Linked DNA regions of Arabidopsis thaliana. The protein of the gene in region 2 interacts with the protein of the main gene of each other region in a pairwise test. Each region holds a gene or a part of one and is shown on either strand. Other genes may lie near its edges.

Region 1 (7,865 bases), on a different chromosome or scaffold from region 2:
TGATCCTTGATCGGTGGTGCGACTTTGATAATGGATCCTCTATGTACGTTCACTTTAGGTCGACAATATTTTAAAATGATCTCAAGTATCTCACAATCACCAACATCTTTACGGATCAGATCAAGCTCCCACAAAAAATTATTGCATCTTCCATGAGAGATCCCGACCTATTTCTTAGAGCTACAAAGCTAAGGCTATCCGACTATGAGAGTCTTCCGAATCCTTATCCCTCGCTCAATGAGAAACCATGAATTCAATTGGTTTCTTTATGGAGAAACTAACCATCTCCTTCTCTTATACGAAGAGAACTCTATTTACAAGTTTTCATCCTCAGCTTTTGGCTTCTAAACTGTGTAAGCTACCGATCTTCCTTACCTTTATGATAAACTGTGTAAAACGTCTCATGCAAGCAAGAATCAAAGTCTTGGAATTTTTTTCAACATCACGAAATCAATCAACCGTCACTATCGACTCACCATGGATTTGCTTGTGCCAATTTCCTTTCTAACATTTGTCTCCAAGCGCTTATGAATCACAAGTCGGACTACCTAATCTATTGTTATGTTGCATTAGGGAACACTCTATCTTTTCATGTTATAAACATTGGGATCTTGGAATCATTCCTATCATTGTACTTTGATTTGGTTTGTTTTGATTGAATGAATGAAATCAAGTATTTGCACAAAAAAACTGAAAAACAAAAGTCTATTTCAATAGTTACATTCTAAATTAATTTTTCCTTTTTATGAAAACCAAAATGCTATTTTTATAACCTTTTCCATTTTAGTATATCTATTCTCTAAATTATATATGAATTTTACTAATTTATCACTTTTACTTAATTTGGAAAAATATTTTGTATAGGACTAGCTGGTAAAAAGCTTTTAACATATCAAATGAGTAAAAAGCTCAATCGGAATTTAAGGAGATAGATGGCTTAATATAGATAAGTTATAATGTGGGATATACCTAACTTCTTATATATATGTATGCTTTCTTCGTTCTTTTTTTCTTTTTTTCTTTTTTTCTTTTTTTCTTTTTAAACACAATCAATTTTCAGATTAAAATATATATATATATATATATATATATATAATCATTTATATCAGCTAAGATGAATAAAAACATTATATTCTCGTTTACCGTTCTAACTCTCTTCGTCATTTTTGTGCAAGGTTTGTAATTATTTTATACGTAACATATAGTCTTTTTAAAACAAATAAATACAAATATCATATAATAATTTTGTTTGTTCAATTATGTTATATAAAATTTGTTTCAAAGTTAAAAATTTCACTATCTAACTACATTATATTGACTATTGAGTAAAGCTCTTTGATGAAAACTTTATATAAAACATAAAAATTGAGTAAAACATTTTGTGCTAGACCAAGAAAACCGATACCCAAAACGTATAGTTTAAATTTCTTCACCTATTTTTGGTTAATTTCTTATATTAATGGTCTTATTATATTACGAAAATTTATATTTGCTATACATTTTCTCGACATGTTTTCTTTGCTTCATTTTCATTAACAATAGTTTCTTTTTTGTGCCCTATAGAAAATGTATTAAGCTAGATCTGTTTTGTATAAGAAATATTAATATTTTGTTTTAAAAAGGGTAAATTTATAGAATATTTTGAAAGTACCTCTATATAATTTATTTTTTAGTTAGAGATAAACTATTTGATAATATGTCTAGCTACATTTTTCTGCTTTCATAATATTTACGTTATAGTTTGTTTAAAGTAAAATTATATGACATTTAAAATTTAATTTATATAATTTTTTTAGTAAGAATGTTATGTATTCGTCAAAACTAATGACAATTGAAAAAAATTGTTACTGTAAATATGTTATTAATATTCAGAAAAATCTGTAGCACAACTATGTTTTACTAAACAAAATAAAATTTTTTTTTTCATTACAAGAACTGATAATTTGTTTTATATTTACTAGTAACAGGAGTTATCGGGAATTTACAACAAAGAAGACAAATGAACCAAACATGGTGTTCTAGGCCTCTACTTACCCATAAACAAACAGGGAAATGTGTCATCGAAGATTGTGAATCTAAATGTAGGCAGAAGTGGAAAGGGAATGGTACTCAGGCTACATGTCGTAACCAGTGCAACTGCCATTTTCGTTGTCCATGGATTCAAGGCCAACCATGAAATTTAAGGAATCAATGTTAAATTTCCTTAAAATAAGTCTTTTCAAAAAGTTTCGAAAATTATAGAAATTCATTTCAGTAAAACTCATATCATAGTGACATAGTGATACTATACGTCTAGTACTAATGGTAATCAAATAAAATATTTGTTCCTAGTGAGTAGTGACTGACTTGTACAAGTGTCTTTATTGAATTTTGATATAGTATCCTTTTATCACCTTCATAGAAGAAGAGATCAGATCCGAGCATCTCAATAAAACTCTAGCTCTGTAGAAAAATGATCGATTGGGTTGAAGTTAGAGTTGGATAGGGTGCTGAGGAGATAAAGGAGTCGCATGCAACTTCCTTCTCTTTTCAAGACCCGATTTAACTCTAGCATAAACCCAATTGATCATTATCCTCAGGCGAACGAGTTACGGCAACGACGGTGGCTAGGGTTTCCTCGGACTCTCTCTAAGATTTTGACTAAGGAGAAAATTAAGGAGACTACCTATCTATTTATAAGGATATTAATCGGCTAGGGTTTTCTTTTTGTCTAACGAAATTTTAGGTTTACTCTCTCGTTACGGGCTTATATGGATAATTAAGGGCTTTTCTCCAATGAGTTTTAATGGATTTACATGAGTTTCATATAGAATTGAGACTTTTCTTTTACTTAGCGATTTGGATCCTACAACAATGGCCACTAAATATGTGCCTACCAAGCGACACAAAACATCAAACATAAACCATGTGGCACTTAAGATTTGAGCTTCTAGCGATTCTTGAAGTAAAGCCATATCAGATGGCTGATGTTAGCTTGCACAGTTGCACTTAAGCATAAAACAGACTCAATGCAATGCAATAACTTTGGCATTTCAAGTTTATTCTTGTTCCATAAAGCACAAAATTCTGCATATACTCCGTAAGTTCCGGAAACAATTTGGAAGTCGCACCAACGCTTTGCAGCCTTTCATATTCAAGAGAAGAGTTTTTTGGAATACAAGTAGGATATCAGGACCCTTTAGTGCACTGCCTTCCAACAAGAGCTTTCTTATCTATTTGAAATCACCTAAAATTGTTCATGGTGAGAATTGTCAGAGAATTCAACTTCATCTATGGAAGGACGGAGGGCGAGGAGAGTCCGCGAAGCCTTCAAGATTTTGAGCGCCTACTAATCCTGAAACTGCGAACCGCTCACATGAATGACTAAGATTGAGTTAATCATCAAGATAAAACAAGCCTTTCTTGCTCCTAATTTGACCTACACAAACTTATAAACCAAGCAATCGAGTTTATCATCAATGGAAAGAATTTACACTTTTTATTGCATATTATGTGGATGTTAAGTATCCTACAACTGTTAGTTGATTGCAAAGACAAATGAAACCATGAACCATTGTGGTTATATCTGAATATAAGGTTAAGAATCTAAACTAGTGACAAAGTTATAAACCTTACCATTCTTGTGTAAGAAATCTATTAAAATAAGAAATGTTGGTTGTGTAACACATAATGCCTCTTCTGTATCCAAATCAAAGCCTTCTTACATCATTATTCTTCCTCTTTATCAGCAACTTTAACCTTCTTCTTTACCCCATCTTCAAAACCACCCACCGACTCGTTTCTCCTCTTATATATACTCAAAGGATCACAAAGCAAGCTCTTCTCTTTCTCTACATCACTCTCAATTTCTCTAGAACCACAATTCCTAGCATTGTCTCCCTTACCATCCACACCGTTTTCTTTCGACATAGACAACAAAACACCAGCAAGATTACTATCATCTTCATCCCCAACAACATCACACACATTCTCCTTCTCATCCCAACAAGGAAACTCCCTACACTGAAACCTAAACTTCTTAGGCACATAACCACTACACTTCCATAACTGCCGACTAAAAACCGAAGAAACACATTCAAACAAACCCAAATCACCACCAGGAACTCCTTGTACATGAACCCTTTCTTCAATTGGTATCTCTGAACAAGCCTTCAATACAACACTCTCACTACTCTGCGTACATAAATTCTCCATTCTCAACGATTTAGTAACCGATAACTTGGACAATTCATCTTCATTGTTTTTTATCTTACACTTGTGGCAAACAAACAAATCATCACCTTTAACATAACGAGAACACCATGTATGAACCCAAACACCACATTCATCACAATCAACCATCTCTTTACCATCATCAAAATTCACACCACAAACACAATCTACTGTCCATGATTCATAAACCCAATCTTCGTGTGGCTTCATCTCAAATTTACCCCCAAAAAAAAAACTCTAAATTTCTCTGATTCTTTCACAAATTAACCCAGAAATCTCCCTGAATATCGAAGCTTTGTCAAACCCAATTCGTTTCTTCTGAACGACGATTGTAATGTTACGCGAAATAGCTTTGCGATTCTTGATAGAAAAAAAGCTATCTTGACGTAAATCTATGGTTCTCGCTTCCCATTTCTGAACGAAGAAGACGAAGATAGGAACCATAATTACTAAAATATGGGCCGGTATGGGCCGGGATGGGCCGGGATGGGCCGGGATGGGCCGGGATGGGCCGGGCTTAGAGGATAGGTACTGTTTTTTTTTTGTGGACGGACCAAACGATTTCATTTAAAAACCAAAAGCAGATAAAAAACAGAATGGTCAAGCTCAAAGAGGAATACAAGCGGAAATTAACGGTCAAATAACTAAATCATAATGAAGTTAGCAAAAATATTTGCACGTATAATTTAGCCTAAAGACACGTGTAGAAGATGTGTTCTTCTGAAAACCACTCGTCACGTCGTAGTACCAAAATCTTCTGGGTCGATCATATGAAACCGCTTCAAAAAGATTTCGAAAACCGCTAACTTCGGGGAAGCTATATCACTGACTACACCCAATTTGATGTAGTCTAGGATCAATCTTTCTATGTACCTTGAATAAAAACAGAATGACGAAGATATTACTTCTTGAGCAATTAGGGAAACAAAAAGAATTTGGAAGACATACAGAAAAATCGAAGGAAAGATATTGGAATAGAGATATTGGAAGTTGAAGTTTTGATTTTTAGGTTTTTTTCTTTGATCGTTTTTATGCTAATTTTGTGTTTGTTAAAGCTGAAACTTCAATGAGATGGCTTTGATTTATGATTTTTATTTGGGAATTTTAGTTTGTAGATTTATGTTTTGTATGATCATTGAATCTTTGAATAACCCATGCACTAGTAAGATGTTATATTATAATATATGGATACTAGACTTGAATTGTTCTAATTAGTAGGAAGAGAACTATTGTTGATAAAATAACATGTACAACTAGTGTACCTGTTAGACTATCTACATTAGTTACATGGTTACAATGTCCACTTTTCTCTTTTCAACACTCCACATTATAATTCAATACCTACATAATTTTTACTTACTACAATAGTTTTGTTTAATAAAATTACAACACATTACCCTACCATTATTTTATATTTTTTATTTTAATTATGTTTATGTTTTTTGTGATTAATTAATTACAATTAATATCAAATAAAATTAAAATAAGTAAAAATTAAATATTTTAAAATATGAAGGATAGTTTGGAACAGTTGACGATATAAAGAAATTTGGTGGATAACCATAATTTGTTATATTATGTTGATGGTTAGGAGATTGATGTTGGGTAGTTAAAAAGGTAATTAGAAAAATTTTGGGAGTTAAAATGATATTATTATGATCTATTTCACTAAAAAGACGGATAAAAAATAAACAAGAGTTTATGAAGGATGATAGCAAAAGTTTAATTTAAAAAGATGGGGTTTTTGTGTCCAAATTAATTAAAACAAGTCTTTATTTTTGCTATAAGCCTTCATAAATTGGGGATTGTTAGGAGATTGATTTTGAAACTGATAATTGTTCAGATTTTGGTAGTTAAAAAAGTAGTTAGAAGAAGTTTGACATTCCTTAAATGTAGTGATATTGAAATTTTTTGACATTCCTTTAATGGATCAATGCATTCTGTTCCTATCCTTTCTTATATGGATTGAGACTAAAAATTCTTTGAACTACCACCGCTCAACTTTATCATGATAATTATAAGTCAACTCAAGTATTTATAGATTATCAAAGTCTTAATCCGAACTCGATAGGACCAAACTGAAACCAAACCAGTTATTTTATTTTTACTATATATATATATCATAGCTTATTAAATTTTTTACAATATTATAAGGATATTATAATTAATAATTATAAAGATAAAAGAATGAAAGCGTTTGGCAAGAGCAATGGTAGAATTAGAAAGGAAAAAATAAAAATGGTTGAGAGTAAATAAGGATTCGCCACAAAAAGCACTAAAAATTGTATTTTAATATATGGACAAATATATAAATTTTATAAGTTATATATATTGGAAAACTATTTTGTAAATGTAGAGCGAGTCTTATGCTTTTATTATCTTAGATAATCAACGAGTAATTTAAGGAGTTAGATAGCTTAAAATATACATGTTCTAATGTGGGGTACATCTATATATGTAGGTGAACTTTTTCTTTCCTTTTCATTTCTAAACTCACAATCATTTTTTGAAAAAACAATCAATTGATTTCTATCATCGAAATGAAAAAAACATTCTCATTTACAGTTCTAATTCTTTTTGTCATTCCTCTGCTAGGTTTGTATTTTCATTTATAATCATTTTTATATGTAATTTTTATTTATTTTAAGTTAATTATTTTGAATAAATTCTTTAAAAAATCTGTTCAGCAATATTTATATAATATGTGTCATAATTAATTTTCAATTAAAAATTTCATCATATTGAATTTAGGACTTTTATGGAAATTTCATACTAGAACTAGAAAATTAATACGTAACTATTTAGTGCTAGACCTAGAAAATTGATAGCCAAACAGTTTTTTTTAACAATATTTTCACCTATTTTTCAATTTAATTAGGTAATTTTATGGTGATAATATATTAAGAAGAAGTATTGTGATATAATCTGATTGAACATATACGTTAATATTGTTTTATTGCCTTTTCATCATCCATTCATTTTCTTTTCTTTCCACATAGATAAATGTGCCATGATAATTGTTTTCATAAACATTAAATACATATATCTTATATTTATAAGTAAATTTTTATGACATTTGAACTACCTCAATGTTAAACTTACAATTTTTGCTATTATAAATTTTTTGGAAACGTCTATATTTATAAGACCAAAAAAAAAACTAATATTTCATCTTTAATATATAACAGTAACAGGATTGATGGATAGTATGCCACAAAGACACCCGGTAGAAGGTTGGTGCAAAAGGCCTCTACCTAACCAAAAACCAGGACCATGTAATAACGACCGTTGTTCGGCTAGGTGTAAGGAGCAGAAGCAATTTGAGTTTAAAGGGGGCAAGGCAATGGGTATTTGCTCTAGTGAAAATAGATGTCTTTGCACTTTTCGTTGCCGATAATTTTGATGCATTTATTTATTTTAAAATAATAATCATTTGTTTTTCTCCTTTTCTGACATCCAAAAATCATTTCATATTCCGTATTATATAATATGTCTTATTAAAATCAAACAAATATTTGTCATTTCTATTAGTGTTATTACCAAATTCTTGTATGGATTAGTGTGTTGTAGATGATAAATTTTATTATTGTTATAAAAAAATAGATTACCTAGAGTTGCCAAAAGAAAAAATATTACTTAGGATACTGAAGAAA
Region 2 (7,433 bases):
CATGCTTAATAATCTTTTACTTTCCTTTTTATTGTATACTCGTCGATTTTGCTTAAAGTTTAATGAACCTTTGACGTAATTATGATTCGGTAATTGGAAGAAGTTGGTTGTGTAGTTTACGCCAATCAAAGAACACACTTAAGTGATAACAAAACCAATACATGCAAGTAGTTTCTATAGTGCTATATATTATGCGTTGTTGGTTTCGGAGTTATAAGCGACATTTTTGTTTTGTAGTCGTATCTATCTGCAGCACAACTAAATCATATTCGTTTCGCAGTCATCGACGACATCGAAAAACTAACTGCGTTTAGTTAAAATTTAAAATGCTAAAAATGTTAACGTTTAAAAGTTTTGGACACTAGTCGCTAAACCAATAACAATATAAGTATATAACAACCAAAATATTAAATTTTTGTTGATTATTAGATTAATCATTTTTGGTGATTAGGTAAATTCACTAAATTGCTAATTGTTGTCGTTTGTCATTGTTGTTGTCAACAATAAAACGAATAAATTTTTATTTTAGCATAAGCAAAAAAAGAGAAAGAAAGAATCATTTCGATATATGATAATGAGATAAACCCACCATATGTTTGGGCTTAATTGGCCCAATTAGGACATATTCTCGTTTTCCTCTCTCTCGCTATCTCTTGTTGCATTTTCGAATTTGGCTAAAATTAGAGTTGTGAAATAGGCAGTTAACAAAATTGAGAATATTACGTAATTAGGCACTTTTTGGAAAGTTAATTCCTAATAAGACACTTTGAAAAGATCAAACACTTTCGATAGGTTATTTGACTCATTTACCCTTTAAATATATTTCTTTTTTGTTTCATTTTATTTGTCTCTCTCCTTCTCCTCTCTTTTCTCTCTCTTACTCTCACAATCAAGCGAAGAAAATAAAAACTTTTACCATGATTTTGATCTCTCTCTCCCCCTCTTCCCATCATCAGTTAACTTATCAGTTCGTTCCTCAATTTTGTTATAATTGAATTTCTAGGATTTTGTTGAAATCTGAGATTCAGATTTTGCTCTTTCTCTCTCTCTCTTTACTGCAAAATTAGAATGAATCTTTGCTCTCTGGGATAGCTTCATTAATCAAGTTTCGGATTACAAAAACGATGTGAAGCAATCTGTCACCATCTTAAGGCGTAACATCAAGCACATCCGCGATTGGCTCGAAAAAGAATCCTCCGCTACCTTCTCATAGTTAGTACTCTCTCTCTCTCACATGATTCCTATTGATTTTCATGTCATTATCTACAATTCTCCATCTAACACACTAAGCACATGTGTTCATGTCTTTGATTTATGTCATTATCTCCAATGCTCCATCTTACATTTCTTCAAATCTTTACTTATATCTTAGATTCGTTCTCCAGTTAATTCTGGGTATCAATTTGATATAAGAAATTGATTAAAAAAAATTGTTTCCTTTTTTCATTGTTTTTTATGTTTAGCATCTAGATCTGCAATTGATATTGGTCGAATTTCGTAAAGATCACATTTTTACGATTTGAATTATTCCAAAAGTTTTCGTTTTTTTTCCCATCGAATCTGATTCTGGCGATTATCGTTCATATATAAACTTGTGTATTGAAATGAAACGACCCCGTGAGTCATTAGATGACCACATGGACTAAACCTGTTGGACGATCATCAATGGACACATGTTATCTTTGATTTGCTGTGAATTTGTTTTATCTCTCAGTAAAATTATCACTTTCTTGTTTATGCTTACAATATATTTTATGGTTTAGAGTTTTGTTTTACGATTTTGGATTTAGTGGATAAGTATTAGGAATTGAGGGTTTGGGTTTAATTTTAGGGTAAGGAATGTAGGCTTTAGTGCAGAGCCTTAAGGGTATAAGGTTTACACACCACAAACCATTTGCTTGTGTCAACGATATTGTCTCATATTCTAAAAAAAAGTTTGTTGATGGACCTTGTATTGATATATATAAAATGAATTGTTTGGATAAGTTTATGTGGACAATATATATTGGATACGTTAATACGTAATTAGGAACATAGTTTAATATCTGATATTTGTTCGGCATATATAATACTACTTAAGCTAAAATATTTTTATTTGATTTCAAGCATTTCATATAATGTTTACGTGGACAATATATATTGGATACATAATTAGGAATATAGTTTAATATATGATATTTGTTGGGAATGTATAATACTACTTAGGCTTAAATATTTTTATTTGATTTAAAGCATTATATATAATGCGAACTGTTTGGATATGTTTACGTGGACAATATATATTGGATGCATAATTAAGAACATAGTTTAAAATCTGATATTTGTTGGGAATATATAATATTACTTAGGCTTAAATTTTTTTATTTGATACAATATTTGATTAAACTAAATTTTTACAGATTTGACAATTAATTTTTAACTTGTTATCTCCATCTAATGCCACGTATATTGCTTTTAGTAATTGGCAACAAAATTAACTCATCTACAGTTTTTTTTCCTTCTCACGTTTGTAAAGGGTAAATTGGTCACAAAATCAATAAAAAAAGGTGGAAAAGTGCTCACTCACTCAAAAGTGTCCCAAACGTCCAAACTTTTGTTATAAGTGCCTTATAATGGAACATTCCCTTAAAAATTCTACCTAGTGAAATCTCTCCAGGAAAGAATCCGTCAAGGTCTAAAACCACTCGTTACTACTTGAATCGGCGCATTTAGTTCGTCTTTCTTTGCCTCTTTGTTGTTTAGTTCATGAGAATCGGTTCATTTGATAGGATCTTAGGTTTAACATGATGTTTCTCTAAGAGTAGTTATTAGGAATTTGGAGTAGTAATAGATGTTGGGGGTTAATCTGATAATTCATGTAAAATCTTTCACTTAAATGTTAAAACTTGTTAGAATTTAAAGTTGCTACGATTATTGGTTGTAAAGATCATAGCAGAGGATGATTAGGTCGGTTGCAAATTACATTCATTTCCAATTACTTGTGCAGTTGTGCTCCAAATTTGTTTGAGAACATCTCAAAAGTCACATTTTTTCTTGTTTAATAATTAATCCTGTTATCTCTAACTTTAGTATAGTCATATGTATTTCTGATTCAAAATCAGGTAATGTTGCAAACTGGTCATGCATGCCAAGGGAATAAGATAATTATTGATGACGTCTAAGGAGTCTCTCATCATAGCAAGTGATGGACCCTGAAAGGTTTGCTTCCACTATAATCTACTCTCAACGATTTACTAATAATGGTAGGTGTTTATTCAAATATTCTATTCTACTACTATGTTGGCAAGGAAAAGCTAGGATGATATATCTCCTTCGTGGCTCTGAAACTTCAGAGTGACCGTGGCTTTTGGTTAGTAGTTTCCCTGTGCTTTTGGATAAGTCACACTCCTTACTCGTATCTGTATTCAAAACGTTTACCAGTTAGCATTCACACATCGACTAGGTAGAAGTATTACACATATCATTAGCCATATCTTTGAAACATACAAGATAACACTCAAGGTTCAAGTATAGTCTTAGCGTTTGCATATAGCTGATAACATTAGAGAGTACTAGAGAGAGTGGTAGTTATTTATTTCTCTATAACATTGTTAGATACCACAATTTTAGGATTCTAAGAGAGAAGTTTAGATGACAGAAGAGAGAGAGCAGACAGCTTCTCTATCTAATCTGTGGTCGCTTGAATGATGAGTTTGGCATAGGAAGTGTCATCTCTACCCTTGATCTTTCTTGATTCTGCATCACCACCTGACCATTGATTCCTCTCCGACCTGATCCTTCTCCATAAGTACTCTCACCAGAGCTCTTCCTTCTTCGCTCATTGTGTCCAGCTAAGCGCCTCCTGCAACTTCTCTTAGCTTCATCAAACTCTTGGAGGTCATGAAACCTGTTTCAAGAACTCAAAAAAACCATTCAAAGATCCAGACAAAAAGTTTTTTGAAGGGTAAATTAGGTTGTACGTTACCTACTGCATTGTTGACAAAAGCGTTGGTTAAGTCCTGAGAGAAAGACAGAAGATGCCTTTGCATGAACTTCACACACTTTGTGTCTCCGGTGATACAGTTTTGCCTCTTTCATATCAGCTGTGCATCTATCTACTTGGCAAAGCCGCAACGAGCCACCACGATTGATGCTACCTCTAGACCCTCTAACTCTATCCCTACCTACTTCCTCTTCTTCATCCGTATCAGTCTCCATATCTTCTTCCACAAGGTAAGACTTCTTTTTCATGTAACCTTGTCCTTGTGATCTCTTACCCTCCATTTTGGAGTCTTATAAAGATGGTTTGTTGGAGGAAGGAAACTCTAATAGGTTAAGCAATGTTTGAGGAATGGGACTTGATGATATTGTTGACGAAATTGAAGGGTTTAAAAGGTGAAGTAAAGTCGGGAGATGGACCACTGTGTTCTTGTACGTTTCTCTGGTGGAATAAGTGCATGATTACGTTGATGTGCTAGCTCAGAAAAATAAAAATTAAAGTTTGGGAAAGAAAGAAAAAGAGATTTACATAGATAAGTATTAAAAACATTTTCATTAGTTTGTTTGATTTAGATTCAAGAAATAATTGATAGTAATATGAAAACTAAAGATCAGTTTTCCTAGTTTAGTGTTTGAAGTTCAATCTGAAAATTTGTTTCAAATTTAAGATCTTTTTTACCATGATGATATCATTGGTTGCCTTTAAGAGGAAGTCTTTATTGGCCTGCCACTGTGTGCAATAGTACATCAAGGTCCATAATTTACACATAGGCTTAAACTCATAACAATCTTTTTGTTGTTTAGGAACAAAACAAAAAGTACTCCTAATAAATTGATGTGACTATTGAATTCGTTTGCTTGCAACCTTGAGGTCTTCTTTTGGTAGACTCTTATTGGAAATGCATTTACCGTAACTTAGGATCTGATCACTGTTTTTTTGTTTGATATATATTGTTTTTTAGACATGGATAATTATCACGTGTATGGACCAGGACAAACAAACGAATAGAGTAGATGCTTATATACGATCTAACCCTTTTGATTTCTTTCTTGTGTTAACATTTATTATTATCACTATTGCTTATATAAAGATTCTATGTAGAAGTGGAGGAATTACAGATTGAAAGATGGAAATAGAACAAATGAGATCACTTACTTTAATTAAAGTGTTGATGCAATAGATATCTGGAACCATTTTAAGACAGAGATTTGTTGTGAGTTCTAATGCATGTTTTTCTTTTACTTGTTATCACCATGAAAGTAATAAAAGCCTCTCACTTTTACCTTCCTTTCTTTTTTACAGTGTGTTGTGTGGAGAAGCAATCACTGACAGATTCCACTGGCATCATCATAATTAACTCTCTGTGAATAGTCAGTGAAACAAATGAAAGTAACTTTGAATCTTTGAGTTGAATAGGTAAAAAGAACCAACAAAGCAGGAAACAGATAAGTTCACTGATTTACTCAAGTGTGTAATTTTCCTTAAACATTTTACAGTGTTGTTGTCTTATTGTTTCTGAAGTACTAGAATTAGTGGGTAGTGAAAGAGACAAGACACAAAGGTTTCACATGCGACATTGTACTCTCTCTGACTTTCTGCCTTGCCTTACCTTGCCTTACCTTGCCTGACGCAACTTAGCTTTTCCAAAGCCAAAAGCTGCCTTTTTTTTTTTTTTTGCATAACTGAATAAACTTTGTCCCTATGAGTTTCCGGTTTGGGTTGTTCCTGAAAGATTTATTTAGGTTGATTTTCAAACCAGAATTAGATTGAGATGTAATAAACAAATTAAATCACACATTTCTATATTCATTAAACATTATAACAATTCGGTTTCGATTTACAATTGTTTCCTTTGTTTTCTGTTTGTGAGTTGTGACTGTCCATGTGTCACATCTCTCTTATATATGTGCAATTGTAAAATTTGTGTCATAAGTAACTTACATAACCTATGGGTAAAAACAAGTGATAACAATGATTCACTTCTTGGAATGTTATAATATGTTGGAACTTGAAAGTTTTTGTTAGTGTAAATAAAAGTGGTACTCTTGGAATCATCTCAAGTAAAAGGTTGATATTCAAGTTTTGGACTATCTAACAAAAAAGGTGATTCCAAATTGTGACCTGGAAACTTTACATATGTATATGATCCACGAGAAGAAGAATATATATTAAAAACAGTTTTTTTTATATAAAAAAAAATCTTTCAATCTGAGTGATAAGAGTATTATGGATGATACTAATTTGTTCGCATTAAAACTTTTACAAATGTTGGATTCTTTCCTTTATTCATATTCTGCATTTACTTACTTCGTTCCCCCGCGTCGCTCTTTTTACGTTAGCAAACAAAACGGACGTAACTATCCGTAGGACCTTGTCCGTAGCTACACACCTCCATTGATTTTTTTTTTAAGATGCCTTTGGTTTTAGAATCCAAATTATATGATTTGTCGAGCTCAGTGATCAATTTTGTCAAATTTATGTTTTGCCACGTATCAAGATTTGCATGGGTTATAATATACAACTAGCCAGTTAATAGAATTTGTTCAAGACATATATCATCAAGATTTGCATGGATTATATGGCTAGTTAATATTTTTATTCGAAAACATTTTAAGGTATTTAAAACTATATATGCGTAAATATTATATTACTTCTCTACAACGTGTATAATCATTTAGATCAAACTATTAAAGATTTCTAGTTTAGGTGCATATTTATATTTTTTATAATGTTTATTCTAAATGAGTCGAATACATTATACATGAATTACTCATGCTAATAATAATCCCAGAACCGGTTACAAATTTATGGCAGGCCTTACTCAAAAGTCAAAATTATAATTTTTGTAATCATTTTTGAATGTAATAAGCTTATAAGTGAAAAGAACGTGAGAAAGTTTCATAAAATTTAAGTCAAAAAATCAGAACAAAAACAAAACAAAGTTTAACTTTCAATAACCTATAATTTTTTGAGCCCTAATCGTTGATTGGTTTATGTGACCTCTGGACCGGCCCTGAATAACCGTGATAATCATACTTATTAATTAACCTTCAATATAGAAAACAAAAAAATAAAACCAAATATCTGAATATTGGTCCATTAACTTTTGGTCCACTATCCACAACATTGCTAGAGTAGTAATCTTCAACAATACTAGAGCATCTTTGTGTATGCTTGTGAAAATAAAGTTTTGGAAGTAGTACCAACAGATTTCGAATCGATTCCTGTGAGTGCCAAAAGCTATATTATTACTTTCGATCACACGAGGAATGAGATTTGTCTCTTCGTTTATAGGAATTTCAACGGAACAAATCTTCTTCTCAGATTCTTTCATATATCTAACTATGCGATCCAGCTATCTCTTTTACATACACCAACAAAACTATATCCATTTGCATTCTCATTTCTTACGTCATAAATATTTACACTTGACAAAAACAAATTTAAATTTAAA
Region 3 (7,164 bases), 2.0 Mb from region 2:
CAGAAAGCGAAGAAGCAGGAACCTCAGGCCACAACTTCAACCTCTGGAACTTCTTCAAAGTCAGGCAAAGGTGGCAAGAAGAAGAGATAAAACAAGCCAAGCCCTCCCTCTCTCTCATCAGATTTTATGGCTTTTAATCTCTTTAACTTTCTGAGAAGAACACAAAGGTGTTTGCAGGTGTAACAATGTTTCAAATAGAACATCGTCTCTTTCAACCCTAAGCTACTTTGTTTTCACCATTCTACTTCTTCTTTTTGGCATCATCCATTGACATTAGACAAGAAAGAATGCCTAAAAAGGGAACATAAAGATATTGTAATTCACCACAATTAGTCTCACTAACCACAGCCATAACCAAAATCGAAATTACAGAATCAAAAGAGTTGAGATAAAACAGATATCTATAGATCGTTACACACAACAACATAAATGGTAATTACCTAATGAACTAACTAAAACCGTAATTAACTATGAGATCGTGCTTAATCAAGCTGTGAGAACTAACTAAAACATGGGCATTCCATTGCTTCTTCGCTTAAGTATTCACTTATGTCGATCAATAACTCGTCGTCTTCGTTGGTTGAGGAATGATCTTGAAGAGGAACCTCAAGATTGTTGTCGTCCTTAAAAAGACCAAACACGTCGTCGACATCTAGGTTTTCCCAAAAGCTCTGATCCTCCTCTGTGAACATCGGTTGTGTTTGTGTTTCTTGGGGAAGACGCATTCCGTTATTCTCTTCCTCTGTTTCACATAAGAGGCCGTCAACAAATCCAGAATCTTCATTCACCAAGTAACGAGATTGATCAGATGATGACTCGCTGCCAACAGAGAAAACAGGGTTTTGATCAAAACAAGTAGTAACTTGTGACGAAGGCTCAAGTGAGGAGTAAGAGTTCTGATCAAAAGAAACAATTTTTAAGGAAGACGGAGACAAGGTACTAGGGTTTTGACCAAAATCAGAAGCAATTTGAGAAGACGAAGAAGAAGACCCACTGTCGTTGTTAGGGTTTTGATCGGATTTAGAAACAGAGTGTGATTTTTCTTTCTTCTCAAGATAATCCATGAGATGCTTCTTCGTTCTCATCAAACGATCTTCGATGATTCTTAACTCAGACAGATCGTCACAATCACGGTAAAGATCGGGCTCTTCCCACCAAAACTTGGCTGATTCAGGGTTAATAGTAGTCTTGGGAGGAGACTTGTTGTTGAGGTAACAGTCAACAATTTCAGAGGCATGAGAGTAGCCCGAGAATGAATAAACGACATCGGAGTTCTCGTCAGGAGAAGTTACAAAAACGGCTATGTTGGCTCCGGAGAGAAGGCAAAGATCAGCCGCTTTGGAGAAGAGTGTGGGACGGCGTTTGCTGCAAGCGACGGATCGTTGTTGTTTAGTCATGCGTTTCTCAATTTCAATCTTTCTTTTTGTTCCTCTTTTCCTCATTGTGCAATCAGTTACGTTCGACGACTGCATTATTAGGGTTTGTTTTGTGTCTTACAGAGAGAGATAATGGAATCGAGAGAAAAAGAGAGAGTGAAAAGAGAGTAGAGGCAAAGCACAAATATATAGAGATTAGATAATACTAATGTCGGTATTATCATGTGACTCGGTCAAACTTAATTTTTTTAATTTTTACCAAACAAACATTTTCATTAAGATCATCAAGATTATTGCATCTAATCACAACTGTTATCATCAAATATCAACACAAACACTATAAATTCAGAATCAGATTATGCATGAGAGAAGAGAAAAGAAGAAGAAAAACAGGATCGTACTTGGAGAGTAATACAACACAAGCACCCACATCCTCCTTAACCAAAACAACAACAACAATATCAGACAAACAACCATAAACAGTAAGAAGAAAAGATCAAACACAAAAAAAAAGCTCCAACAAAGTTGTTGAAGGGTCAGCAGAGGAGAGCTCAAGCTCGAACCAAAGTGTTTGATGTAATGAAGCAGAGAAGGAAGATGCTGATGGAAGGATCAATGCATGAGAAGGTGCTAGCATTAAAGGCAGACAACAACAAAAAAAATCTAGCCCTCATAAAAAGTTTGCTTCTGGATGCACGAATGGAGATGAAACAAGAAAAGCATATAAGCATAAGGTTCTGAAGTCATCTGATGAGTCAAACATTCACATCGCTGTAGGGGATGGAAATGAGGGACAGGATTGTTGTTTGCTTCATGATGATAGCATCAGAAGTGAAGAAACTATGAAATCCAATGAGCAGTACTCTGAAAAGGGAAACAATGATTTTGGTGAAGGTGATGTTGATAACAATGACAAGACTGATAAGAGATTTCAAGAGCTGAATGTGCTAGCATTGTCGATAGAGGAGCGTATTCTTAAGGCATAAAGAACTGTGGCATGGTTGAACGAAAGGAGAGCCATAAACACACAGAAAAGCAGCTGGTTTGAATTAGGTGTTGTTGTGGACAGATAAAGAAAGGAGAAGGCAAATGCAAGTTGAATATCAAAGTCATATCTTTATGATCTTTTTGGTTCAGTGTCTTTTGATTTTCCTGCTTAGTATCTTTTAAAAACTGGTTTGGTTCCAAATGTTTCATTTGTATCTTTTGAAACCTACTCAGTTATGAGCGACTTAATACCTTCTTGGTGTGTTGCATATCAGAGTTTTCGTACAGAGGATAGCCTGATTCAATCTGTTGATGCGATCTCTTTTGCATACCTGGAGAACTTACTAGACACAAAGGCCAAAGCTTTATGGTAATTCACCACAAGAAAATGTAAATGCTTCTATTGTTACTAATAAGTTTCTGCAATTTGGAATATTTGTTATACTTTTGCGATTACTTTTGGATGCATACGAAGCTTTTGCGTTTTACCTCAGTGACACTGTTAAATTCAAAAATTCCAAACAGTACAGTTAAGTCTTTTGTCAATAACGAAAAATATCTCTGATGAATGGTCTGATAAAAGCCTTTGTGTCAATTCGATCCAACATCTACCCCTTTGTGCTTGAAGAAGTCCTTAGCCTCTGCAATATCCTGCAACCAAAGAAACAGATAAAAGACACTAAATTAGCAAAAATATTGAAGGATGTCAACATTAGATAACACGAATCCGTATAGAGCAGGATGAAAAATAAGAACAAGGCCGACTATGGCAAACAAAGAGCTAGTCTCAAAAGTACCTTCTGCAGCAGAACTGCTTCTTGGGGGCAAGTAGGAAACTGCATGAGCCCGACTCCAACCATTAATAGGCCATAGCATCCGAGGGATACAACAAAGTAGATCGGTAGCTGTAAGACAGACCGGCAATAATACCAAATCAGAACAGAATCCTAATTTCAAAAAAGCAAGAAACCAAAAAAGAGGACAAAATTGTTTGTTACTCACCAACCATGTATGGCTTCGAGGAATAATTGCAGCCTGCAAAAGACCAATCCAGAAGGCAGAGATAGCCACCAACAGGCTCAAGATCTTTACTATATGCTTCATTTGTCCTTTAAAGTAAAAAATTATGTAAAAGAGTTTAAGTTAGCTGCGAATAGAAATGCATAGACGATCACAGCATTCTCCAAGAAGTTGTAGAGCATGTAAAAGAAATCACTCAGCGAGCCTAATAAACAAAATCTAGTAAATCAATGAACTATTCACAATTTCGTAGTTGTCATGATCAACACATATATTCCTCAAGAGCAATATTAACATCCCATTTACCCCACCAAAATTGATCACAAGCTCAAACCATAAGAAATATACCAATAATAGCTATCAGTTGTAACTAGATGGAGTCTCAACAAAGCAAATGGATTTTCATGTTTCAGTGTGTAATGTTCACTAACACAAAGACGCGCACATAATTTCCAAACATCAAAGTAAAACTAGAATCTAGCACAATCTGAACAGCTCAGTAACCCAGTTTATACAACTCAAACCATCATGCTATATCCAGATCAATCCGTACTTTTTCGACAATGACCTCTGACTGGGATAAACAAAATAAGAAATTGAAAATTATCTGACTCCGAAATATTGTAACATCAAAAAAAAACAATTTCCAATTCCTGAGATGATCAAGTCCGAACTGAAGCTACAGAACCGATACAAAATCAATGAGTTCCAACAGTTCCTCAGACCAAACGTCAAGAACTCAAAGTCTCAGACCATACGAAACTTAATCCTAAGAATTGTGTTAGCTTCCAAGAATCCAAATTCACAAATGCTGATCATGTAACATCAGAGGAGGTAAGAAAAACAATCACAGGAACCAAAGCAATAGCAAAAAAAATCCCTTACATTCAGGCAAGAAGCATTTAAAAAACAAGAATTCTAAAGAACCTGAGCTGCTTAAACAGGATTTGAATCGAAAGCATCTGAATCGAACCGTGTAACAAAAAACAGGATTCCAATTTCATATCGCTACCACTGATGACTGATCAGTAACCATAGAAACATTTCTAGACGAAATTTTTATATGGTTCCTTAAAACTACATAGTTCTATCACCAAAAACCGAAAACAGTAGCACAAAAGTTTCCTAGAATCATCTGAAAGCTTATACTAAATTAGCTAAATAGTACACCAGAACAAACACAAGGTAAATCACCAAATCAAGATAAAACCATGGCAAAGAAATATAAATTCCCAACAAAACCGATCCGAAAGGAGATGTTCCTCCAAAAAATTATCGTAAATCGATACAACACACAAAATAAAGAGGAGGAATCGATTATACTCACAGTTAATCGATGAGATCGTGATCGTCTAAGCGATAAAATCAGTTATAGAAGATTAATCTGGGTGTGGAGGTCACAAGTACTCGCCGTCGACGACGATGAATCGACGATATAACAACCGGTGAATACGGGGAACTCGTGAATATGCGAATTCACTTATACACTAAAACGATGCCGTATAGTCCCCACTTATGTTCCTCCGGTCTAAATGTCATTAATCCACATTTTGGTTCACGCTATATCGGTTTGATGCGGTTTCATATCGGTTTCATTCGGTTTGATGCGATATTCCCCTTTTGTCACTTTTAAGTTCGGTTTTAAAGTCACTTTTCCATACAGATGAGAGTATTAGCATTTTCATAAGCTCAATACGTTTTTCAAATATATCAACTTTTACATTTGATTCGGTTTCAATTCTTGATCAAAAGCAAGGATTGAAGAATTCGGTTCTCTATTCCAATCCGACTAGTAAATAAATCGTCGTACTAAACCACTCTATATAGAACAAACTTCTTTTTATTAATACAAGGCCTACACCTAGTGCACCACATCATCACCATACGTTACAAACGTAATTATTTTTGTTTACACGTACGTAAAAACATTAATATCATACAATACTTGCATGTACGTTATATAGTAGGCTTTTGTTATTATCTTTTCAAGAGACCTCTGTGTGACGCAGATAGCCTTTCTTTGACGGAAGATCGGCGGTCTTGAAACCCTGTGGGAACATCTTTTTGGCTTCCTCGTCCGACACAGCAGGCGAAATCACAACCGGTTGATCTGGCTTCCAGTTAACCGGAGTGGCGATCTTGTTATTGTGCTTGGACGCCATCAACAACGAGTCTAAAGCCCTCAATACTTCGTCCATGTTACGTCCCGTGGTCGACGGATACAAGAAGCTCAATTTTATCTATATATCACAAATCCAATTAACCAATAAAATCATACATGCAATAATATATGAAATTATTACCTTACTGTCAGGACCAACAATATGAAGGGCACGAGACGGTCCGTTCTCAATTGGATCAATCATGTTAAGCTGAGGAATGATCTCTTTGTTCGGGTCAGCGATTATCGGGTAATTCACCTTGCTTCCGTGCTATATCATACATATGTAACAAATTAATCAAAACCAAAATATGATCTCTAGCTAGTCTGGTATATGCATGCATGAGATTTAAATTATACATTAAAGGCTTCAATATCTTTGATCCAGTCTTTGTGTGACTGTACATCGTCACAAGACAGACCAAGGAGCTTCACGCCTCTCTTATCGAACTCATGAGCGTATTTGGCCATCGCACCAAGCTCCGTGGTGCACACGGGTGTGAAATCCCCTGTGTGACCGTCAACAAAAATCAAGAAAACAAAAAAGGAATTGCAACAGAAGTCAAGAACTCAAGATCTATATATTAACATATATACCGGGATGAGAGAAGAGGACGGTCCAAGAATTGGCGAAGTAGTCATGAAGTTTGAACTTGTCATGTGTCGTCTCCACTTCTAGGTTCGGCACCGTGTCTCCTAGTGTGATCCCTGGCATTTTACCTTTTATATTTATATATAGAAAAAACTTTCTGTATTGATTTGATGTGAATGGATGTAGTAGAAGTTGAAGTTGCGTCGAGGACCGATTAAATAGAGATCGCAAGCTGGTTAGGTTCGTGGATCAAAGTCAGAAAAAGAGAGAGAGAGACTTGATGATGTTCAAATTGAGGTGCATGCAAAAGAGTATAGCGTGGCGTTGTTATGAATTGGGTTCACGCCACGTGTCTTCGTATAATCTTCAAAGTTCAAATAAAATAACTCTTTTGTTTCGAGAAAAAACTTAAAGCTAAGGCGACGCACGATGTCTAGAGAGACTCAAGTGTTTGTATTTATTTTTTTACTTGTGATAATCGACAAAATCTTTGCGTTTACACCCAAACATTGTCGTATTAAGTTTCGTTTGGGCCGAGACTATGGTTAATGGGCCCATGTTTTGAGAAAAACGGCGTCGTTACCTCAAAAAGATTAGTTCTTCGGACAGACCTAGGAGGATCAGAAGTTCTTAAACGAAAAAGAAGAAGCCGAAAACTTCTGTCGGATCTGGAAGCTCTCTCTTTCTCTCGTTTCCTTTCTCGCTCCCGCTTAACGCTTCTCTTTGCTTAATTATTCTTCGTCTTCCTCTGGTTTATTTCAAACGTCTCTTTTTGGTTTTTGTTGATCACGGACGCTTTTCTTTGGTACGTCCTCTGATTCCAATCACCCACACACTTGGTTTATGTTGTCGAATTTGGATTGGTTCAATCTCTTTGTGGTTTGTTGTTTCTTGTTTCTTGTATTAGTTCTTCGTGTCTTTGTATACGAGTAATTAGCTTGATTTTTTTGTTGAGCAATTTTTCTTTCGTACCAGTTTAGGATTTCTTGTGTTCAAATTATGAATCTTTAATTCTCATTTCTCAGTTA
Region 4 (8,381 bases), on a different chromosome or scaffold from region 2:
AGAACTGAGTGAGATATTGAAAGTGGTTAGGTCTCTTGATTTGCAGGCTGTACAATCCATGGTGCAACAAGCAATGCAGTATATTGATCAGACACTAGACATAGAAACTCGGATTGAGCTTATTAAGACTCTAAACAATGTAGCTGCTGGAAAGGTGCGGATTAGAGTTGGCTATTGTTGTTGTTGTTGTAGTTATATTTGCTTGAATCTTGATCACTCCGTGCAAGTTTTTTTCTTGATGAATATGTGTGTGTGAGCATGTGTAGATATATGTCGAAATCGAGAGAGCTCGTTTGACCAAGATGCTTGCTAAGATTAAGGAAGAACAAGGTTTGATTGCTGAAGCTGCGGATCTCATGCAAGAAGTTGCTGTAAGCTTTTCTTCCTCTACTTTCCAACTTTCGTGGAAATCGTTTTTTATTTATTTTATAGTTTATCAATGTGCATTGATTGTGATTATGAATTATAGGTGGAGACATTTGGTGCTATGGCAAAAACTGAGAAAATTGCTTTCATTCTTGAACAAGTAAGACTTTCTGTTATCTTTTCATATTTCTTAAGCTTTGTGCTTTGTGCTTTGTTCTTGTTTGTATGTTGTGATTCTAATTATTGGTGTGTAAACTTCTGAAGGTCCGCTTGTGTTTGGATCAAAAAGATTTTGTCCGTGCACAAATTTTATCTAGGAAGATCAACCCAAGAGTGTTTGATGCAGATACCACGAAGGAGAAAAAGAAGCCTAAGGAAGGTGAAAACATGGTAGAGGAGGCTCCGGCTGATATACCTACATTGTTGGTGCTAAAACGGATTTACTATGAGCTAATGATTCGGTAAGTCCTTGATTTGGTTTAATACATTCTTCGCCAGTTATTGGTGTCAAAATATTTGAATATTATTCTCCTCTGAATTTTGATTTCCCTTTACTTCTGTGATCTTTATAGTAAAAATATAATGTGCTGATTCTGTTGTGTAGGTATTATTCTCACAACAATGAGTACATTGAGATATGCCGTAGCTACAAGGCGATATATGATATCCCTTCTGTAAAGGAAAACCCAGAACAATGGATTCCAGTAAGTCTCGTATTGTTGTTTGGATGATCTTGTGGTAGTCTACGTTCTGTAATTAGCTTGGATTAACTTTTCTCCCTTGATCCTCTAAATATAGGTCCTGAGAAAGATTTGCTGGTTTTTGGCCTTGGCACCACATGATCCAATGCAATCGAGCCTACTCAATGCAACCTTGGAAGATAAAAAGTTATCAGAGATTCCTGATTTCAAGTAATTCTCTTTATCTTGATAAAAATTTGGGTTTTCACTACTCTTCCCCTCGTTCCCATCTGAAACAGATTCTCAATCCCTATGTTTATATTCTGTTGCAGGATGCTTCTAAAACAGATTGTTACAATGGAGGTGATTCAGTGGACATCTCTCTGGAATAAATACAAGGACGAGTTTGAGAATGAGAAAAACATGATTGGAGGCTCTTTGGGTGACAAAGCTGGTGAAGATCTCAAACTAAGAATAATCGAACACGTAAAGACTCTTTGAGCTCTAATCTATCTTTACCTCTTTGATTGCATCAATTGTTACTGAAGAGTCTTAACTTTACAAATTCTTCACATCTTCTGCAGAATATTCTCGTTGTCTCAAAGTACTACTCAAGGATTACCTTTAAGAGACTTGCAGAACTTTTATGCCTAACCACTGAGGTAAATATAGTTTCAAAATACTCTTAAGTGTACCAGTACATGTTTAAATCTCTTCTTACCGTTTCATTATATTTCAGGAAGCAGAGAAGCATCTATCTGAAATGGTTGTGTCCAAAGCCTTGATAGCAAAAATCGACAGACCATCAGGAATAATCTGCTTCCAGATTGTTAAAGACAGCAACGAAATCCTCAACTCGTGGGCAACAAACTTGGAGAAGCTTTTGGATCTTGTTGAAAAGAGTTGTCACCAAATTCACAAAGAAACAATGGTTCATAAAGTTGCACTAAGAGCTTGAGAACCCGGTCTAGCCACACACATCGGTGGAAAGAATCTTTCAGGCTCTCGTTCTAACATAATCATTTGAGTTTTCTTTCTCTGCTTGGTTCGAACACATTTTTTTTGTGTTCTTTAGGAGACCTTGCAAGATTATATACAAAACTCTCTTTTTTTTCCTTTCTCCATGTGGTCTTTTTAATGTTTGTTACAATGAAACGAAATTATAATGCAAAAATATAATAAATTAAGAAAAAAAGCATGAGAGGATGAAAGCAGAACAATACAAACAACCTAAACCCTATAATATTTGGAAAAATAACTCTATAACATATAATCATTTTCCTGTTTTCTATTACTCTATAGTGAAACAAATAAAATGAAGCAAGTCATCAGGAGGATGGACTATTATTGTAGTTATTACTAGTCTTGTCTGATGGCCATTGTATATCCTGGAGATAACCGGTTTCGCTAGCTGATTCTGGTGGCGGCTGAACAGCAGCCGGGGAAAACAGAGGACGAGAATGAGATGATGATGACGACGTAGATTGCATCATTGAACCTCCAGTGTGACCGAAACGCAACGGAAACGACATTTGATCGTATAAATCCAAAGATTGTTGATGATGTTGCTGAAACTGTTGTTGTTGACGAGCCATTTCAGAGTAACTCAAGTTGTATGATTGCATCAACGGCTGCGAATGAACGCTTTGATTCGAAGCAGGTCTTATGGGCAAAAGGGTAGTCGTTGAACCCGAGTTCCTTGACTGGGTCGGTCTTTGAGCAGCGGTTTGGTGCACAGGTTGTGCTTCGGTTGAAGCAGGTCTAACGAGTTTGACGTTTTCAGGGAAGTTGAGTTTGGCTTTGTTGCCTCTAAACCGAAGTGCAGCTTCGTCGTAAGCTCTTGCTGCTGATTCAGCATTGTCGAACGTACCGAGCCAAACTCTAGCTGCTTTAAATGGATCTCGAATCTCAGCCGCCCACTTTCCCCATGGTCTTTGTCTAACTCCTCTGTATCTTCGCCGAGGTTGGTCCCCACTAAACGACGACGTTTCGCTACTAGCAGTTGCCGTAGTTGTATACTCGTATGTTGGGCCCGGACCTGACATGTTACTCGAAGCTTCTCTCACTGCAAATAAACAAACAAACATGTAAAATTTCACACTTTTGTTGTCACTCGTGAATTAACACTTTCTTACATAAGAAAAAGAATCGATAATATTAATGTCTCCAATAAAGATATTATAAAGTTTTTTTTTTAAGAGCGAGTATGAGAAAGTGATGAGGCAAATGGGTGACAAAAGGAATGAACAAGTAGAAAAAAAAAGGAAGTGGAAAACGACTCTTGATGCAATTGGAGGGAGATAAATTCTTTTGGCATATCATCATCATCATCATCATTTTCTTAATTAAATATCCAACCTTTTTACAACAATTCTAAAGTATATGTCTTAAGATAATCAAGTACAGTTTCGTTATTATATTTATTTTTGTCAACACTTCGAAATATTTATTTACATCTTTACGCTAATTACTATTTTTTATTCCTCATTTTTCTTTATATTTAAATTATTATAAAGTATATCTAACTTCGCCATATTTTAGAAAACGATAAAAGAAAAGAATAAAAAAACTAAATATAAGACATGTTGCTTTGTAGATTGCGTGAGGACAACAAAAGTGCAACTGTATTTAGATTTTGTGTTACAAACATTTGATGTGACTCATACCTTGATGTATATACTACATCATAAAATTATTGAAAACATTTATCAAATAGAATGATCTTATAATTTAAATGTTTTATGTTTTGTGGATACACAACCGAAATATGTAAAATTTTATCAAAATGGTGTGTACTAATGTGGTTTAAATCCGAAACAGGGTACGTGTGTTTATAGAGGACAAAATAAAAACCCAACAAAACTAACCTTTAGAAGTAGAGCTACCACCGGAGAAATATTGATCAACCGTCAAAGTATTAGCTGCCTTAACCGCTTTGGCGCCACCTTCCTCCACCTCTCTCCTCCTTTTCTGCCCCGAGGAAGAAGACGAATTCGAAGTCCCTTCTCCGCTACCTTCACCGCCTCCTTGTTGATGCTGAGGAACATTTCCAGCAACAACGTGAGTCAAAGCAGAGACAATAGCAGACATCTCCATCTCTCTACTGAAACCTGAGATAAGAGATGAGGACGACGACGATGGAGGCGGCTGCTGCGTAGGGAAGCTATGACGGTGGTGGTCGTCTTCGGCTGCGAATAAGTAAAGCCATTGATCGATTTCAGATAACGTCCGATGATCATCGTCTCTAATAGACTCGGCTTTTTTGCCAACGTTATCTTCCTGATTTGCCACTTTTAAGACACACATACAAAACCCTCCTTCTAAATCCTCCTCCTCTGAAACTTAAAGCTTATAAACGCAGAGAAAATTAAATTTAAAAATATTCTTTTTCTTCGAGGGAAAGAAAACTCTGTAGAGAGAGAGAGAGAGAAACAAGAAACAGAGACAAAGAGGAAGAAAGAAAGACAGAGATTTTAGAAGATGTGTTTTTTAAGACAAAGGACGAGGTTTAGCTGATAGATATACAAATTTAATTTTCTTGTGTTAATTACTTTGTATGGTTTCAGCGCCGCCAAATGAAAATGAGTCGGCTTCTCTCTGTACCCGTGTGAACTGGAAACACGCAGTTTTTTTTTTAATAACTAATGTTTATATATATATATATATATATATAATATAGCAAATAGCTATTTTTATAAATTTGATCTATAACAGAAGAAAATTTGGTTTTGATGATTTAACTCAATTTGAACAAATTTTGTAAAAAATTGGGTCCTATTATATGAAACGTATCTGAATCTTTTCGCAACTTGTGAGTAATTATATATTTTTGTAAATATACTATATGCGACCTATACTCTATGAACAGTTCTGAAGAATACTTTAACAAGTCTAGTAAATTAAATAAATAAGGTAATGAATTAATTATGTATATTAGCTCTGTGTCATAAGACAACTTGCATAGTAAAAACTTTAAGAAGTTATAAACACTGTTAAAATATGGAGGCATTCAGAAACGATTATTAATTACTATATTTACGGTTCGGTGCTGAAAAAGAGGTAAAACCATTAAATGGAATATTTATAAAATAAGATTATTTTTGCATTTTGTCTAAACGGTGAGCTTGAAGGTCAAGTTGAGAGACGAGCCGTTCCGTACGAATGCGCGTGTGTTGCACGTGTCGGTTCTGGTCGACGTCAGATGCTCCGTTTGTGGACGGTGTCGGTGATGGTAAGGCTAATGCTCGTGACCGTTTGGGCCTCACCCTACGGCCCACTTGTTTCAACCTTCGTCTCTTATCTTTGACCGTTTGACCCACACCTTGTATTATTTTCTTCGTTTTCGATTTTTCAGAAGAAAATAATAGAAACGCATTGTTCAGAAGAAAATAGAAAAAAAATAGAAACGCATTGTTCAGAAGAAAATATGATTTTAGGATTTGTGATGTGTTTTTCTTTTAACTATAAGAGTTGTTTTCTTATTCGCCCGAATCGAGTCTAATAGAGGCTGCACAAAAACTTTTTGGTTAAGAAAAACATATTGTTGTCCATATTTGCAATTAAGCTCAGGATGGTTCAGATTTCAGAACTTGCAGATATGTACTCGTAGATTCTAGTCTGAACGCAGAATAATTATTATATTGATATCTTTTGGATTTTCTATTATTTTTTGGTTGAGAGTTAACTTGAGGATAATCTCGAAACGCATCGTTGGACTTTTGTTTTTAACCAATCTAAGCAATTGTGCTCACAAGTTGACGTAGTTGTTATTTTTACCTGTTATACACGAGACATTTTCGTATTGTTAAAAAGTCGCAGATTTAACGAAGCTAATAATACATAATTTGCAAAGATGGGAGAAAAAAAAACGATTGTTATTGATGTGACATTTTTCTTAGGCTGATGCTCAAGTCTCTATTAACTAATTAATTAGTCAGTGCGACAGTTTATTTTCTTAAAGAAGCTGAACAAAAATATTGTACGACAGTATAATTAATCTGGATAAACCACGACAAAAAAAAAAAAAAAACTGGATAAACCTTTTCACCGGTCATTTCCCTTTTTAGAAACTAAGATGCCCTGTTTTATACTAATCCAGTTTAATTATATTCCACTAAAACATACAGTAGCTTTTAATCACTTAGGCGATAAAAATACCTAAATATGTCTATCAAATAAAAATTAGTAGTAAAATAAAACAAATTTAGAGATCGAGTCTTCAAAGATCAATCCAAATACGGAAACATAGTGATTATTAAATAAATTTATGTTTTCACCATGCTTGTGTGTGCCTATCGCCTAACCTAATCCCTATTTAAGTTCGCATCAACGCGTCAATTAAGCATTCAATTCGGATTAGTTACGTATTATTATACGAATATGCATCCAACTTGTAAATATTAAACTTGTTTAACATGGCAAAACCGGAGAACGAGGCGTGATCAGTTTAATTTAAGTTAAGGCGTACGATAATGTCTTTTTCATCAACTTGTCCTTTTTCAAGAAAAGAAATAAGAAGAATTTCTTATCAAACTAGGTACCCAAAACTGATATCACAAGTGCGATGTGTAATAATGAAGAATCTATGTACAAAAGGTACCAAAAATCGTATCCATTTAAAATGAAAAAAAGAAGTAAATTCACATAAATTGTGACTTTTAAAGTATTTTAATGATTTAGAGTAGTTGTGTTTTTAATCATGTACTTATGTTTTATATGAGATTATGAGTTAATGGAATAAATTCTGGAAACTGTGGCCACTTGTATATATAAATATCTCAACGATTGACAATTTCGTATCGCCACTTGATAGTTGTCTATCGAAATGATGTACGACAAAACAATTAGAAATATTGATATAAATAAAATTAGTAATGCGTTACTTATTAATTAATATCTCGTTAATTATCAGAGCTTATCTGTACGGATAAGTAAATGATATAATTAACACAGCTTTAATCACCCGCTTAGTCGCAAATAACACGTGATGACGCAAACACATTTAAGAAATGGTTACTTCCGTTGAAAAGGTGGTGTCGACATGAAATCGGATTCTACTATGTTCTTTTCTTCTTTTTAGTGCTAGCTACTATATATGAACTAAGCCGAAACGAATACAGTACTAATATAAAACATTATGTATCTACCTACGGTGTAAAGAGAAACGACATAAGCGTTGCATCTTTGATTATTCTATCTATATTATAAACTTTATGTTGATTACTCGATTCATTGTATCTACCACGGTGTTTTATATTTTTGATATATGACCGAAAAAGAACACCGATTTGGATTCTTATTGTTAGGATCTCACATTAGTTGTATAGAGAGACCAACACTAAAATATATTATAGTATGGGTCATAATTTATTATCAATTAATTTTAGTTGAAAATCAGAGCTTCGTTTGTTAACCGGAATAGAATGGTCTAAAAAAGCTTTATTATCGGTTTTAATGTGGAATTCGATTTGAGATAGACTGAGAAGAACCATCATCTCAAAAAAGTGAAGCAAACCATTCATTATCGATTGGTTTTGAGTGGGAAACCAATAAACTTTAATACTTATTATTAGACAACATTTTAAATGTTATATTTAACAAATTAAAACCTGATCATTGATGGTAAGAAACCACTTGTATATACATGCAAAGGCTCAGTCTTATTAAGCCTTCACAGAAGCACCGAAAAATCAAAGTCTACTATGTAGTTCTATAACTCGTGGTATATATACGACATATAATTATGCTCTTTTAAATCAATGAATTATGTTGACATTCTAAGTTCTAACCATATATATACGGCATTATGAACTTGTATTTTTTAACGTAAAACTAGGATATTCAAACAACGTGTAGTACTGTAGTATTAAGCCAGATATATTTTCAATTTAGAAGACCGCATGCATATCTAAAAGAAAACCCAAGGTTTTTGAAAGTTATCATTTTCTAGATCTTCTCGTCTAGTGGTCTTTTATAGACCAAGTCTTTACAGGAAGGAAAACTTAATCTTCCACTATATTACTTGACTAAATCTTCAATTAAAGAAATTGTTACGAATGAAAAATAAAATAGTATCAGTATCAAAATAAAAATAAATAATAACACAGTAATGTATTGCTTCTTAAACGTTGTGATCCACATCTTAAATATATTATTTTTTTCTAAAAATATTTTTATGTATTAGTATTTGCAGTTTGCTTATATTTACATGTTATAATAGTATATGTTTAAATCATGACTTTTAATGTTTAAACAAAATTTTTATCATTGAAATGCAAAGTTTACGTTATGATCATATAAATTCTTAATAACCACCCAAAGAGATATATATACGTG

Evidence for each region.
Region 1: the proteins of SPL4 (region 2) and AT4G10600 interact in a two-hybrid assay, tested with the Arabidopsis thaliana proteins (one large-scale study listed by BioGRID).
Region 3: the proteins of SPL4 (region 2) and AT1G48150 interact in a two-hybrid assay, tested with the Arabidopsis thaliana proteins (one large-scale study listed by BioGRID).
Region 4: the proteins of SPL4 (region 2) and ABR1 interact in a two-hybrid assay, tested with the Arabidopsis thaliana proteins (one large-scale study listed by BioGRID).

The regions. Positions count from the first base shown.
Region 1 is NC_003075.7:6,544,226-6,552,090, forward strand, and holds AT4G10600 (RING/FYVE/PHD zinc finger superfamily protein), read right to left. Parts: upstream 4,654-7,865; 5' UTR 4,423-4,653; coding exon 3,709-4,422; 3' UTR 3,616-3,708; exon of another isoform or gene 3,444-3,615; intron 3,341-3,443; 3' UTR 3,010-3,340; downstream 1-3,009. Other genes in the region: LCR2 (low-molecular-weight cysteine-rich 2), read left to right, coding at 1,115-1,175, 1,962-2,176; AT4G10603 (S locus-related glycoprotein 1 (SLR1) binding pollen coat protein family), read left to right, coding at 6,753-6,807, 7,401-7,609.
Region 2 is NC_003070.9:19,803,308-19,810,740, reverse strand, and holds SPL4 (squamosa promoter binding protein-like 4), read right to left. Parts: upstream 4,479-7,433; 5' UTR 4,264-4,478; coding exon 3,965-4,263; intron 3,887-3,964; coding exon 3,661-3,886; 3' UTR 3,399-3,660; coding exon of another isoform or gene 3,351-3,398; 3' UTR 3,036-3,350; downstream 1-3,035. UniProt on the Arabidopsis thaliana protein: Trans-acting factor that binds specifically to the consensus nucleotide sequence 5'-TNCGTACAA-3' of AP1 promoter. Promotes both vegetative phase change and flowering.
Region 3 is NC_003070.9:17,779,705-17,786,868, reverse strand, and holds AT1G48150 (MADS-box transcription factor family protein), read right to left. Parts: upstream 1,473-7,164; coding exon 501-1,472; downstream 1-500. Other genes in the region: AT1G48160 (signal recognition particle 19 kDa protein, putative / SRP19), read left to right, coding at 1-90; AT1G48145 (plant mobile domain protein), read left to right, coding at 1,956-2,003, 2,057-2,362; DPMS3 (dolichol-phosphate mannosyltransferase-like protein), read right to left, coding at 2,955-3,014, 3,161-3,268, 3,366-3,467; PER1 (1-cysteine peroxiredoxin 1), read right to left, coding at 5,369-5,623, 5,687-5,815, 5,905-6,053, 6,142-6,259.
Region 4 is NC_003076.8:25,887,650-25,896,030, reverse strand, and holds ABR1 (Integrase-type DNA-binding superfamily protein), read right to left. Parts: upstream 4,583-8,381; 5' UTR 4,353-4,582; coding exon 3,914-4,352; intron 3,112-3,913; coding exon 2,375-3,111; 3' UTR 2,143-2,374; downstream 1-2,142. Other genes in the region: RPN5B (regulatory particle non-ATPase subunit 5B), read left to right, coding at 47-154, 267-371, 470-526, 631-827, 971-1,070, 1,165-1,277, 1,379-1,532, 1,631-1,708 and 1 more.